Schizosaccharomyces pombe: one gene and its partner. The main gene of each other region encodes a partner of the protein of the gene in region 2 in a complex. Each region holds a gene or a part of one and is shown on either strand. Other genes may lie near its edges.

The links.
Region 1: tim22 (region 2) and tim54 share a complex: the UniProt entries of both Schizosaccharomyces pombe proteins name them as parts of the TIM22 complex.

What each region holds. Positions count from the first base shown.
Region 1 is NC_003423.3:4,065,869-4,075,754, forward strand, and holds tim54 (TIM22 inner membrane protein import complex subunit Tim54), read left to right. Parts: upstream 1-1,920; 5' UTR 1,921-2,161; coding exon 2,162-3,205; 3' UTR 3,206-3,299; downstream 3,300-9,886. Other genes in the region: sporulation specific PIL domain protein Meu14, read left to right, coding at 426-507, 549-1,474; DNAJ domain-containing protein Scj1, read right to left, coding at 3,417-3,466, 3,522-4,498, 4,554-4,642, 4,717-4,797; serine/threonine protein kinase (CK1 family) Cki1, read right to left, coding at 5,843-7,057, 7,141-7,266; rex2 (RNA exonuclease), read left to right, coding at 7,723-7,897, 8,003-8,083, 8,165-8,250, 8,370-8,435, 8,498-8,848; rnh202 (ribonuclease H2 complex subunit), read right to left, coding at 8,972-9,853. UniProt on the Schizosaccharomyces pombe protein: Essential component of the TIM22 complex, a complex that mediates the import and insertion of multi-pass transmembrane proteins into the mitochondrial inner membrane.
Region 2 is NC_003423.3:3,273,889-3,277,291, reverse strand, and holds tim22 (TIM22 inner membrane protein import complex subunit Tim22), read right to left. Parts: upstream 1,664-3,403; 5' UTR 1,434-1,663; coding exon 906-1,433; 3' UTR 606-905; downstream 1-605. Other genes in the region: vac14 (phosphatidylinositol synthesis protein), read left to right, coding at 34-113, 160-605; nascent polypeptide-associated complex alpha subunit Egd2, read left to right, coding at 1,814-2,335. UniProt on the Schizosaccharomyces pombe protein: Essential core component of the TIM22 complex, a complex that mediates the import and insertion of multi-pass transmembrane proteins into the mitochondrial inner membrane. In the TIM22 complex, it constitutes the voltage-activated and signal-gated channel.

The DNA of each region.
Region 1 (9,886 bases), 790 kb from region 2:
ATATAATCAATATACAATTTTTTAGAAAGAGCTGTTTGTATGTGTATGAGCATTAAGAGAAAAGAGAATAGCGCTTCCTTGATCGATACTAGTTAAGGATGTTTAAATTATGGAATTTTGAGTTTGAGTAAATATAAACGAGAACATTCCGAAAAACTCTATTAAAAGTAAAAAAAAACATATTGATAATAAAAGAGCCATTATCTGATTATCGCTAAATAAGTCTACAAACAGCTGTTTGTTTACGAAATTCTTAAAATTAATTATCGTAATAATCAACTTAAAAAAAAACAAGCAGTTTTAGAATTTAAAGAATTATTTTTATTATTTGTCTTTTTTCTATATTGTTTATTTGAAAATTGTGCTTCTGTTTACAGGCAAATCTTAAGGCGGGCATATATTTTTCTGAAACGTAAACAATCAACATGCCCAAATCAAGCAACTTGAAAATGCAGAGAAAAGGCTCTTTAAGAGAAAACGGTCTCGTGAAGGGTTTAAATAAAAATAGTAAGATATAAATTGGTGTGATAAATAAGTTAATGACATAGAATTTTCGATCAGCAAGTTAAAAGAACTATCTCATGCAGATGACTCAAGGAAAAGTCACCGCATCATTAGATCCGGTAAAAGTTCAGGTGAAGCTTACAAGCAAGCTGGAAAAGGATTAATGAACCTTGGTAATCATCTGAGTGACTGGGGAGCAAAATCCAGTAATCTGAGTTTGAATGATATTAGCGATAAAATTGGAGTTCTTGTTAGTGAACTGGGAGAAACAGAAATCGAGTTTGTTAAAGCATTCAATGAAAACAGAATTAAGTTCAAAGCCATTAGAGCTATGGAAGATAGCATCGCACCCTCACGAGCACATCGACAACGATTAATCTCAAGCATTGAACGTGAGGAGGAACGAGATCCTCTTTCTCCTAAACTTACAGATTTACAAAATCAATTAGTAAGAACGGAAGCAGAAAATTTAGTAGGAGAGATGCAGCTTGATAATACTTCTCGAGAAGTATTCAAGTCATCATTTCAAGGATTGATGGATGCTTTCCAGTTAAGAGCACAAAAGCAAATGACTTTGAGTTATTATGCAAGCCAACTTGCTGAATTGATTAATGATGAAGTGGCTTACCCAGGGGATAACCCAGCTGCTTACAGTCAAAAATATGCAACACAAATTATGCATCAATGCGTAGAGTCCATGGCTCGGCTTCTTGCACCAGTAACTAGTGAAACTACTGAACATGTAGGTTCAGATTGTGAATTTACTAGAAAATCGTCTTCCTCAGTGGAATTCTCGGATCATAGCCAAGATTCTGGAGATCCAAGTCAGCAGAATATCTTGCAAGTGAAAAACGTTCAAGCAGTGCTTTCAATCCCTGAAGCTGAATCTTACAAGGCCCAGCTACTTTCCTCTATTGCAGAAGAGCAAAAGAAAAAAGAGTTGCAAGCAAAATCCACTGTTTTCTTGTAGTTATCATAACAAACTAAGAAACGTCAATCGGATTCTCAACCCAAAAAACATGTATGTCTTAGCATGTCGATTAATTGAAGTAAACTAAATTCAATATATTTATCCAATTGATCCTTCCAAAGCTTTAGTAGATAGCATGGTTAAGTTGTTTGATTTCTTTATAGAAAGCATCTTGAAACCAATAATGGAGGATGTTTATTTGGTCTCTACTTATTTAATTTATCGTATCCTTAAAATTTATTGTTCCAATGAGAACTTAGTACTATCGTACAAAAATGTCCTCAAACAGAATTCTCAATATCCCTGTTCCATTTTTATCTTTTCAAATAATAAAAATAAAATAAAAAAATTAGATTTCCTCTTAGGCCTTTATTTTTGCTTAATGGGATAAGGTTGCCTCGAGAGGTTGTATCTCATATACACAAGGTAGAACTTTTGCATACCCCAATTTACTTAACTACTTGGATTTTGGAAGTTGGTGGAAAACTTCTTTCAAAAATCAAATATTCACTATTACAACCTTCTTAATTTTCATTTTGACTTTTAGAAGTTTTCCTTTTTGAAAATCCATATATTGATTCGCAAATAAACGTGTGTATTTCATTTGTGTGAGTTCGCATATTTCATGTTGTGAACTTTAAAAAGAGGGAGAAACCGATAGATACGTTTTTTGGTTTGTTTTTCACAATGTTAAAAACAATAAAGTCTTATATGCCTGGTCGAAATATGTCCATATTTTTGGGATTCGTGGCAGGCATATCTGGAGCAATTTATTATGATCGGCGTCAGAAAAATTTAATAATTGAAAAGTATTGCTCTCAAGTACGCCATTTGGCTGATCAACCGATGGCACCTCTTGAGTTACCGAGAAAATTGAAGGTATATCTTCATGGACCTCCAGGGGATGGAATATACGTTGCACGGGAAGAATTTGAAGAATACATTAGACCTATATTTAATGCTGCAGCCATTGAATTTGAAACCGTGGAGTCCAAAGGTGAAGGGAATTTATTGGAACAAGTAGCGAGGACGGTTTACAACAAGAGGCATAACATTTCTGAAGTTTCTGAACCGGAAAAAAACCTCTTATCAGTTTTAAAACCAAGTGTTGATCCTCCTGCTATTGTTTTATTAGGAAGGCATGCCCTCAAAGAGTTCCTGTACGGCGTTCGATATGGATTTTCCGACGATATTATGAAAAGAAAACTTGAAACAGAAAAATTGGAAGCCAATAATAAAGAGGAGAAAGAAGAGAAAGAAGGAAAAGATGACAAAGATGACAAAGAGGATAGTAATGATACAAAGAACGATAAAAAAATTAGCAAAAACGAAGTAGACTCTTCTCTGATAGAAGCAAGTCCGTTGACTGGTCAAGTTCCACCAAAATTTTTGGATACTATTGCTATTTTTCCCTTACCAAATCTTTTAGGGTTTTCTAACACTCCTAAGCGACTTTCAAGATTTTTTAAAAGAAGAGAGCTAGCTGATGAATTAGGCGCAATTGCCGTAAACGTTGCATTAAGCAGGGATGTAACTAAGTTTCCAAAACAAGACGGCACTTTACTTCTAGCTGAAGAGGAAACAGATTGGCCGAAGCAATTTTTTACAAGATCTGATTTGGAAAACCGCATTTGGACAGCTCCCTTTCTACAGGACTCTGATGAGATACGTTTTTTTGAAAACATTGATATCTTTGATTCAACGAAAGCCAAACAAGATAAGTATGAATGAAGTGATGTCTATTCTAAAATTTGAAGAATAAAACAAATATATGAAATTAAGTACTGTGTATGAAGAATTACTAGGTAGCCATAAACAGTAAAAGGAAAAATAAAAGAATGGCGTATTTATGTATATAAGATAGTCAACAGTAAATGCAAAGGATTTTGGTAAATAAGCTAGTTAAATTAAAAACGTAGCAGCGGCTTCAAAAAACTCCGTTTTAAAGCTCATCAAATTCGTTATCATACTTTTCAAATAAGTTATTGAGGTCTGAATACATTGGTTAGTTTAACAAAACTTATATAGTCTGCGAGATGTAACATACCTTTCAAAAACTTTCCTTTCAACTTTTTAGGAAATTTGACCTCCCACTCTATATAAGCACTTCCATGTGCAGAAGTGGTTTTTCCTTTATGAAGGTTGTAAATTGGCATTCCTTGATTTTTCACTCTCTCCGTTTCCCCAGGATGCACAACTTCGCCAGCTGACCGCTTAACCTCCATAAAGGATCCATCCAGTTTTTGTATTTTACGTTTCCAATTTCCGAGTAAAGCTTCCCTAACCGAAATAGTTTCCTTTCTATATAGATCATTATCTTTTCTAGTCCATCCATAATCACCACCAGCAGCCTCAAGGATAACGATGATATCTCCAGCTTCCATACCAGGAATTTCATCAGCTTTACCACGAAAACCGATACGGTAACCTTCAGGAGCACCAGCTGGTACTTTAATGTCAAAGCTTTCAACAACTTCAGCAACACGCTCACCTTTGCAGCGAGGGCATTTATGCTTGATCGTACGTCCATTTCCATTACAAGCGTTACATGGCATACGCATTTGCTGACGAAAACCTGGAGCGATCATGTGTTCAATGACTCTGAACCCTGAACCACCGCAAACAGGGCAACTTTCGATAGCTTTATCAGCGGAGTATTTAGGATTAAAGCCCTGACCACTACAAACACTGCAAGTTCTCTTCACCGGAATTTCCAAGGTAAAACTGCCTCCGGTGTAAAAAGATGAAAGATGAATTTGAACTATTTGCTCCATGCTAGGTCCTCTGCGAACGGCATTTTGACGTCTACGTCCGCCAAATATGTTATCGAATATATCACCAAATGGATCAAATCCGAAACCTCCACCTGGGAATCCTTCACCTGGACCACCACCAGGACCACCAGGTTGACCGTTTAATCCTTCTTCTCCATAAGCATCATAAATCTTACGTTGCTCAGGATCAGAAAGGACTTCATGGGCCTTGTTAATTTCAATAAACTTCTCCTGTGCTTCTTCATTACCTCTAGAACATTTATTAGCTTTAGGCTTTCATTTGTTTGCATGCTTGTTTAACTTACGGATTTTTGTCAGGGTGCCATTGTTTCGTCAATTGTCTATATGCTTTGCGAATCTCAGATTCAGATGCATCTTTACTGACTCCAAGGATCTGTTTTTGAGAGAAGTTGTTAGTGAACATTTTTCTTTAATTTTCTTCTCAATCCTACGATCACATGCACTTACTTGATAGTAGTCAGCAGCAGATACAACTGCTTGAATGCAAACTAAAAATCCTAATATAAAATGAAAAAGATTGAAATGCATTAACTATGTTTAGGAAGCGAGTTGGAGTTTAGCTCACTTTAACAAGGGAATGGTATTATGTAGAAAGATTTTCTTGAAGAAATCCAGGACAAGTTTGCAACGCCTCGGTATACTCATCGCCGTGGTTATCGAAACCATAAATTTAATTTAACATTGTTTAGAAATGTCATAAAAGTTACTATATGAAAATATTTTTATTAATACAATTAATCCATTTCAAGGATCCACATAGGTTATTTAAATAGTCCAAATAGTTGATAATTTTATATTTGTTTCAACGAATATCGGGTGGAATTGTTGGTAGCAATATTTCGAAATATTTTTACATGCTAATTTTATTACTAAATTTTTTAGTTCCAAAAACCAACTACTCATTATTTCAGAGGGTAAGTATGCCTTTAGTCATTTGAGGCAGAGTAAGGATGATAAATAATAATATAATATCTATGTACACGTAAATACATATACACATAATATATATAATATAGATAGATAGATGTGGGTGTTCAAACCTCTACACATATGTACGAGAGTCCAAATAACTAAAAATAGACTGACAAGCAGTATTCAACGACCTTTATGCTCAAGGAACGCATAATATCATCGGAAGTGATCAAAAGACAAAATGTTGAACGAGACAAAGATTATAAACGGAAAAAAACATAAAAGCAAAGAACCTGTGCAAATATAAGATATCATTGCTTTAATCACAATAAGTAACCTCCAGTTTGACAATACGCGAAGAAGCCTAAAGAAAAGTAATTATTTCAAACGTACATTTTACAGATTTATAAAAAAGGATAGATTACCGGGAAGGAAGAAAAAATGCAAAAGTTAACCCTGCTAGCAATTCTAAGAAGAAGGATTTGGACAAAGAAATAAAATGAAAAGAAAGTGTATAATTAAATGAATGAAGCACAGAAAATCGTTACGGCACAAAAAATAAATCACAAAAACACTTTTGTCAACTGAAAGCCTGATTATCCATACCAGTCTGAAGAACAAAATAATCAAGAAATTCCTAAATACTAGTAGAACATATTATTCATGTGTCTTCATTGGAGCCAGAACAACAAGAAAGAATACTGGCCCAAAATGATTTTTTCTTTTTAGGTGCTTCTGTTTCTTTCGTAGCATTTTGTACTTGCTCTCGGGTAACCCGTTCTTCAGAAGAATCATGAACATCAACGGGTGCTGGTTGATTAGTTGCTAAACCGGAACGATCAGGCACAGTTGTGGTAGCTTTCGTCTCCGTTGGCGGATTAGGTAAAGAATTTTGATTGGGTTCAGCAGAATCGCTTGCAGAATTCAGATGCGGCTCGGCAAAAGGCTTTTCATAATCAGAGCGTTTGGAAACTACGTTCTGAGTACTTGCATGATTTTGCAGGGCTGGTGACTTTGATTCCAATTTGGGTGCTGGTGGTTTGCTTGAACGTTGATTTTCTGTCTCTGCGTTTCGCGACTTCAAGCTTTGCCAACCTTTACCGTTATTCAATAGATTCCAGTCAAAATTTTCATCCTCAGTAGTATTTAATCGCTCTAGGACTTTCGAAAATAGGCCTTGCAAATAATCATAATCTGGAGTAGCATCGAATGCCAAATTACGAGCATAATGCATATACTTGTAGAATTCTTCCGGGAAACCAGCACACAACTCGCGTAACGGGGTACTTTGCTTTTTCTCACCAATTCGTTCATATTTTTGCTTATTGGTGGCAGCCTTCAATCCTTGCCAAGGTAGGCTACCTCTAAGAAAATACATGAATACATGACCCAAGGCTTCCAAATCGTCTCGACGGGATTGCTCCCGACCCAAATGAGTATTAATAGACATGTAACGAGCAGTACCCGAGAGGTTCTTTTTCTCCCGGTAAGGTATGTGCTGTTTGGTAACTGGATCACGATAAAATTTTACCATGCCAAAGTCTACTACGTAGATCATATTAGCATTTTTACTGTTTGGTCGACCGATCAAAAAATTATCAGGCTTAATGTCTCGATAAACGAGACTCTTCTCATGGATAGATTGCACTCTTGCCAACATCTGTTTTGCGGCCATAGCAACTGTTTTTACACTAAATTTACGGCCGCAGAGATCGAGCAAATCTTCTAAACTTGGCCCAAGAAGGTCAATCACCAAAATGTTATGTAACCCTTCTTGGCCAAAATAATAAACATTCGGAATACCCGTACATCCTGCCAGCAACTTGTAAGTACGGTATTCATCACGTAATTGAGGAGCATCACTGCGTCTTGGTTCCTATAAGCAAAATCAATCAGTAATGAAGGAAACAAGAAAAATATCCAGCTTCAAAGCATGGCATCAAATGGATTCTCACTTACAAATTTAATGGCTACTTGTTGATTATTCAACAAATTCGTCCCTTCAAAAATAACACCAAACGAGCCTTCGCCAATTCTTCTTCCAACTTTGTAGTGGACACCGACTACATTGTTTTGTCCACTCATTATCTTTGAACGATTTGTGCTGGAGATTTGTCAAATATGATGTCTCCGTTTTCCGCTATCGAATGCAAAAAACTAGGTTGTAAGCGATTCCTGTTTAAATACTTTTATGAATTAGATTGAATCACAAAGATCTCCTATACAAACCTTGAAATTACAACTATTCAAGCCGTTATTGAGAAAAGAGGTGGATGGTGTTGGAACGGATGTTTTTAGTGGTGCTTTAGTTACGGAAGTGTCATGTGCATCACTTCCCTCTATTCCTGCCTGATTAAGGGGTTAGGTAATGCTGTCTTTGGAATACAAACACTGTTTCAAAACGTTTAAATAAACATACTATTACTAGTTTTCATTGCAAAAATCAATCGATAGCTAAGTTTTTAATTTTAAAAAATCCCGGATATTAAAATCCAACTTACAACGAAGTACTTTCATTAAGTAATAATACCGTATTTTCATATGCAAGGTGCATTCTTAAATAATAGAATCATTTTGCAGTCATATCACATTAAAAAACGCTTGTATAGCAAACGCACTAGCTCGTTGCATTCGCGCTTCTTGCAGCCAACATATCGCAAAAATATTTGTCAAATTTCCAAACCCATTTTCCAGCAAGACTTATCAACGAATACGAGTATGTTTAGATTCAGTCTATCAAGTTATCATTTCTACAATTTACATGTTTAAGTTTCTTTTTGTCGATGTGTACCTCAGTTTTTAAACTTTTACTAATATAAAGATTTCATCTCAAAATTGAAAAGTCCATTCTCCAACCTCAAAATGTCGAATTTAAAGCAGCCCCTTGTTTGGATTGATTGCGGTTAGTGAGCTTTAGTATAATCTTAGCTTTTAAAATGCATTACGATGGTTTTATAGGTAACTTGTACTAATATGATTGAAGAGATGACCGGGTTAGAGGTGGGAAAGCATGTATTGATGGAGGTCGCGGCAATCATTACTGATGGAAATCTTCGCCCCGTTGAAGAGGTAACTTTTAATTGTGAACATTGAAACATCGGCTTTTAACTTGAGATGTTTCAAGAGAAACAAATGCATGGTTTCGAAGTTGAGCGTTTATTAAGGCTGTCATACTAACTAAGGCGTAGAAATTTGATGCTGTTATTAAACTCGACGAAAAGCAATTGAGTGAAATGAATGACTGGTGTATTGAGGTATCTTTTCTTGCTTTTAGTTCATTCACGGATGTCAATTTTCTAATTATACTAATAAACAGCAACATGGGAAAAGTGGTCTTACGGAAAGATGTAGACAGAGTAATTTAACAGTGAAAGACGTTGAAAACCAGTTGTTAGCATACATTAAAAAATACATTCCAAAAAAACGAGAAGCGTTAATCGCTGGAAACAGTGTCCATGCAGACGTAAGGTTTTTATCTGTCGAGATGCCAAAGATAATCGAACATTTGCATTACAGAATTATCGATGTTTCTACTATTAAGGAATTAGCCAAACGCTGGTGCCCGGATATTCCTGCTTATGATAAAAAGGGTGATCATCGCGCATTGTCGGATATTCTTGAAAGTATTGGTGAACTTCAACATTACCGCTCTTATTGGCTTTCTTGAAACATTGCTCAAGAAAGAAGAATTCCACTTTTACAGCAATTGACAATATCTTGTAAACATGCCAAAAAAATTAAGGGTACTATGCTAAGAAAAAAATAAAAGCAAAATCATACCTCGGTGATCTTACTTTTTTGTAAAGAATGAAGATATTTTCGTCATTCCTTCTCCTGAGAAGTATTTGGACTTCTTGGTGGCCTGCTTCCGATTGGGCTTTTTTAAAAGACTTGATGTAATATCACTGTTTTGTGGACGTTTTTTAGAATTTAACAAAGCTTCCTTTTCTACCAAAATCTTTCTTGATTCTTCTAAGTTTTTAGTGTAAGCGTGCAGTGGGGCCAATTCTTCCTGCCAGTAGGCTAATTTGTTATACCATTCAGGTTGAAGATCTTCACAAACCAATGAAGCGGCATGCCACTTGCATGACAATTCTAGTAAATCTTGTGGAAGCGGCGTGCGGAGGTCCAAAGGCGCTAACTGTTTTTTAAGTTCGGTTACAATACTAGGGGGAAGATTTTCTTGAGCAACCTTGGCTTTCCTTAGTAAAATTTTAACAACAGAAGATTCATCCAGTTGAAAGGTCTTGGGCAAAGATCCTACTGGCTCGTTTACTTTACAAATCCGATGTAATGTGTTCAACAAATTCGGAGAGAGGACTTCTGACACTCGTGGATAATGAGGACCCATATTATCAAAGTGTTCAATGAAGTCTTCAAACGAGACATATCGATTCGGTTCTTTCCGGCGACTCCAAGTAAGTTCCTGAATGATTGGAAGCACAAGCGCGAGTAAGTCTATCGGGGTGCAAACATAGAGATATCCGTCCGATACTACATGATCCCCTACAAACCAAGACCTTTGTTTTGAAGAATCCCCAACTTGAAGGATTTGTAAAAGGTGATCGTTTGTTAATAAATAACGAAGTGGTCTCCCGGTCAAGGGATGTGAGAGTTCAACAAATTGTTGATTTGTAGAATCTTTGGGTAGTATGAATATCTTTCCCTGCATTTTTTAAGTTTAAATTATGAAACCCCAAAATTT
Region 2 (3,403 bases):
AAACTTTAATTTTTTATTAACCTATGTGATTAGTGCTGAAATTGAGTTTAATATCGATATGTTGATACAGTTGGACAAGTTAGTTCAATTAATAGAATCCCCGGTCTTCACATGTGGGTGCAATTGAATAATTGTTTTACATATTACTAATGACATTAGATATGCGCTTACAATTATTAGAGCCTGAAAAATACCCGTACCTTCACAAAGCCCTGTATGGGATATTGATGTTGTTACCTCAGTCTTCAGCGTTTCGGACCTTAAGAGATCGACTTCAGTGCTCTTCAACTCCAAGGACAAATACTATTTTAGCTAATGAAAGGTTACCTCGATCAAGGCGGGATGATCCATACTGGACGGACCTTCTTGAAAGGCTGAAAGCGGTACAGCTATCGCATCAAAACAATTACAGAGAACCCATCCGTGCTACTAGATTAGCTCTTGCAGGAGCATTACCATCAACCCCAACTGCCACTACAATATCTACTACAACCTCGGCGTCCGGAATTACAACTACAGCATCGAACTCTCGTGATTCCTTTATAACAAGGCTTCCACCAACTGCAGCTTTATCAACCGGTGCGAGAAAGAAGCCAAAACAGTGATGTATTTAATTAATAAGTGATATAATGATCATATGGTATAGAAAGAGGAATGTTAATAATTAAGTATTTTTGATGCAATGGAAAGGTGTCGGTAAATGAACGAGCGTAAACAAGGACAGTAAGAATATCATGCTAAAGTAAACAGTGCAGATTAGTCAGAAGAAAAAGGAATTATACTAATGGATGATAGGTTATGGAAGTCAACCCGGTTAACGCAGACAGAACGTAAGCATCTATTAAAAGAGCAACACATGAAGGTAAAAAAAAATGTCCAGTCAATTGAATAATGAAAGGTATAATTTATTCTCCCCAGTGCATATACTTTTCAATTCCATAAGAAAATAAACCAAAACCAGCGCCTCCTAGAACAATTGCCTTAGGTCCTGAACGCACAGCCAAAGCTCCACCTGTAAAAACACCGGCGGCGATGGCGTTATAAATATCAGTTTTAGCACGAAATGCCTCTATACAGCATTCTGAACCGGAATAGATTAAACCCAATAAACCAAAATTTTTGGCAGTAGAGAATGAGCGGCTACCCATATCCCTTGCTTGAATACGAATTTGTTCACGAAATGGCTTCTCATAGATCTTGGGATCAATGTGTTGCAAATCCAGAGAGGAAATGAACATACCAAATATACCACCCAAGCCAAAACCTAGTACACCGGCCATGCTACTTTTAAAGACGCAGCTTTCTGATATCCTGTTCATGTAGCCGATTATTTTTGCTTGTTGTAAAGCAGCTTTTTCTTCTGGTGTCAAATTTCCATCTGCATTGGGCGAATTTCCACCCAGATTCGGCGGCAATAATCCAGAAAGCGACATAGTTTGTTTGTTCTGCAAAGGCGCTGTGTAAAAAACCGAAAGGGTACTAAAATATAAATTTCTTTTTAAACTGTCGTTTCAAAATAACAAAAAATTATTCTACAATAATGTAACGAAAATATGCGATAACCGTGGTAATTCGAAGGAGATTAAGAGACGCGCCGAAACTATTAATTATACACTATCACTAACTCTCTTACATATAAGTAATAACTGAAGCTATGTTTTCTAATCAAACAATAAGGGTTAGTTTGCTATGCCCTACTACCGCTCCCAAAAGACAGTCACGGTAATATCAGAGTTCGACAAACATGAAAAACGAATGCGTCAACGATTGAATCACTTCCAACTACAACAATAGTCTTTTATTTTGATCCAAAATGTCTGTTGAATCACAACCTGTAGAGAAAATTTCTGAGCTTCCTGCTGGATCCACCACCGTTGTCCATGCTGAGAAGGCTCAAAAATTGATTCAAAAGTTGGGTCTTAAACGTGTTGAGGGAATCACTCGTGTCGCTATGCGTCGTCCTAAGAACATTTTGTTGATTATCAACGAGCCTATTGTTTATAAGAGTAGCAATAATGCTTACATCGTCCTTGGAAAGGTTACTGTTGAAGATATGGCTGCCCAAGCTCGTGCCTTCAACGAGTCTCAAAAGCAAGCTACTGAGACTAAGGAAGAAGCTGCTATTACCGAAGAATCCGGCGATGCTCAACCCGCCGATACTGCTAAAATAGAGGAGTCTTTTGAGCAAGAAAAAGCCGTTGATGAAACTGGTGTTGATGCTAAGGATATTGAGTTGGTTATGGCCCAAGCTAATGTTTCTCGCGCCAAGGCCGTTACTGCTTTGAAGGAAAACAACAGTGATGTTGTTAACGCCATCATGTCTCTTACCATGTAAAAGTATTAAATACAACTTTTTGCTTTTTACCCTCATGTTGTTTTTTTCGTTGTAAAAGTAATTGTATGTTTACATTTTTCCATTTCGCATAATCTTTTTGTAATAATGTGTGACTCATTAACACAGCTTTAGTCAGTCATGAATACGGCTAAAGCATGGCTCAAATAATCAAAGTCAATAATTTTTTTGTTTACTCATGATATGCGGATATTTCACACAATGGTCAACCTTTGTTTGACTGCATAATTTCAGAACTAGTCAACTTTGTCTTACTCAATGTAACTTGTCAATGGCAGCAAGTTCGTTTGCTAGCTTATTCAATTTTCGATATCAAACTGTCCGTGAATCAATCGTGACAGAAGTATTTGTTTCAGATGAACAAGGAGCACAGAGATGAATCATCTGACGATGATTAAATCTTTATTTTCAAAATATGGATTCTAGCTTCTTGATTATCATCTGCAATGTTTGCAGCTCATTAATTATGTAAAAAAAAATGTTGATGAAATTAGTTTTTGGTTTCATATAAACGGTTTTTACTATTAGGCAACAGAAGTAGTTTATTTCTAATTCTGATTTCGTTCAATCAGTTGAATGTATTCACAGGCATGCGAATAAGTGATCCATTAATGACTATTTTAAAGTTCGCAGCACTTTTAGTGATCCTCAACAATATTAAAATTCGAGCTTTACACGATTTAGTTTTTAAACACAAAAAAATTTGTAAGATACCAATGCGGAAATAATAAAGGATAAAATTTTTTGATTTTAATGATGCTTATTATTTTGCATGTAATTTTAACACAAGATTTAACTTGTATGTTTCCAATTAGTTCTAAATAGCTGTAGTATATCGCGGATGGAAACACTTGAAATATTTGGATAAACCAAGTACCCACGCATAAAATAGGACCAAGATTGTATGTATGATCAAACAAAAGTGAAAGTAATCCAAACGAGTAGATCCGAATAACTAATAAAAGGTAAAAAAAAGGATATAAGGCGTGTATGAGATAAGTAAAAAGATAAAATAAAAATAGACACAAGGAAACATCAACAAAAAGTTGA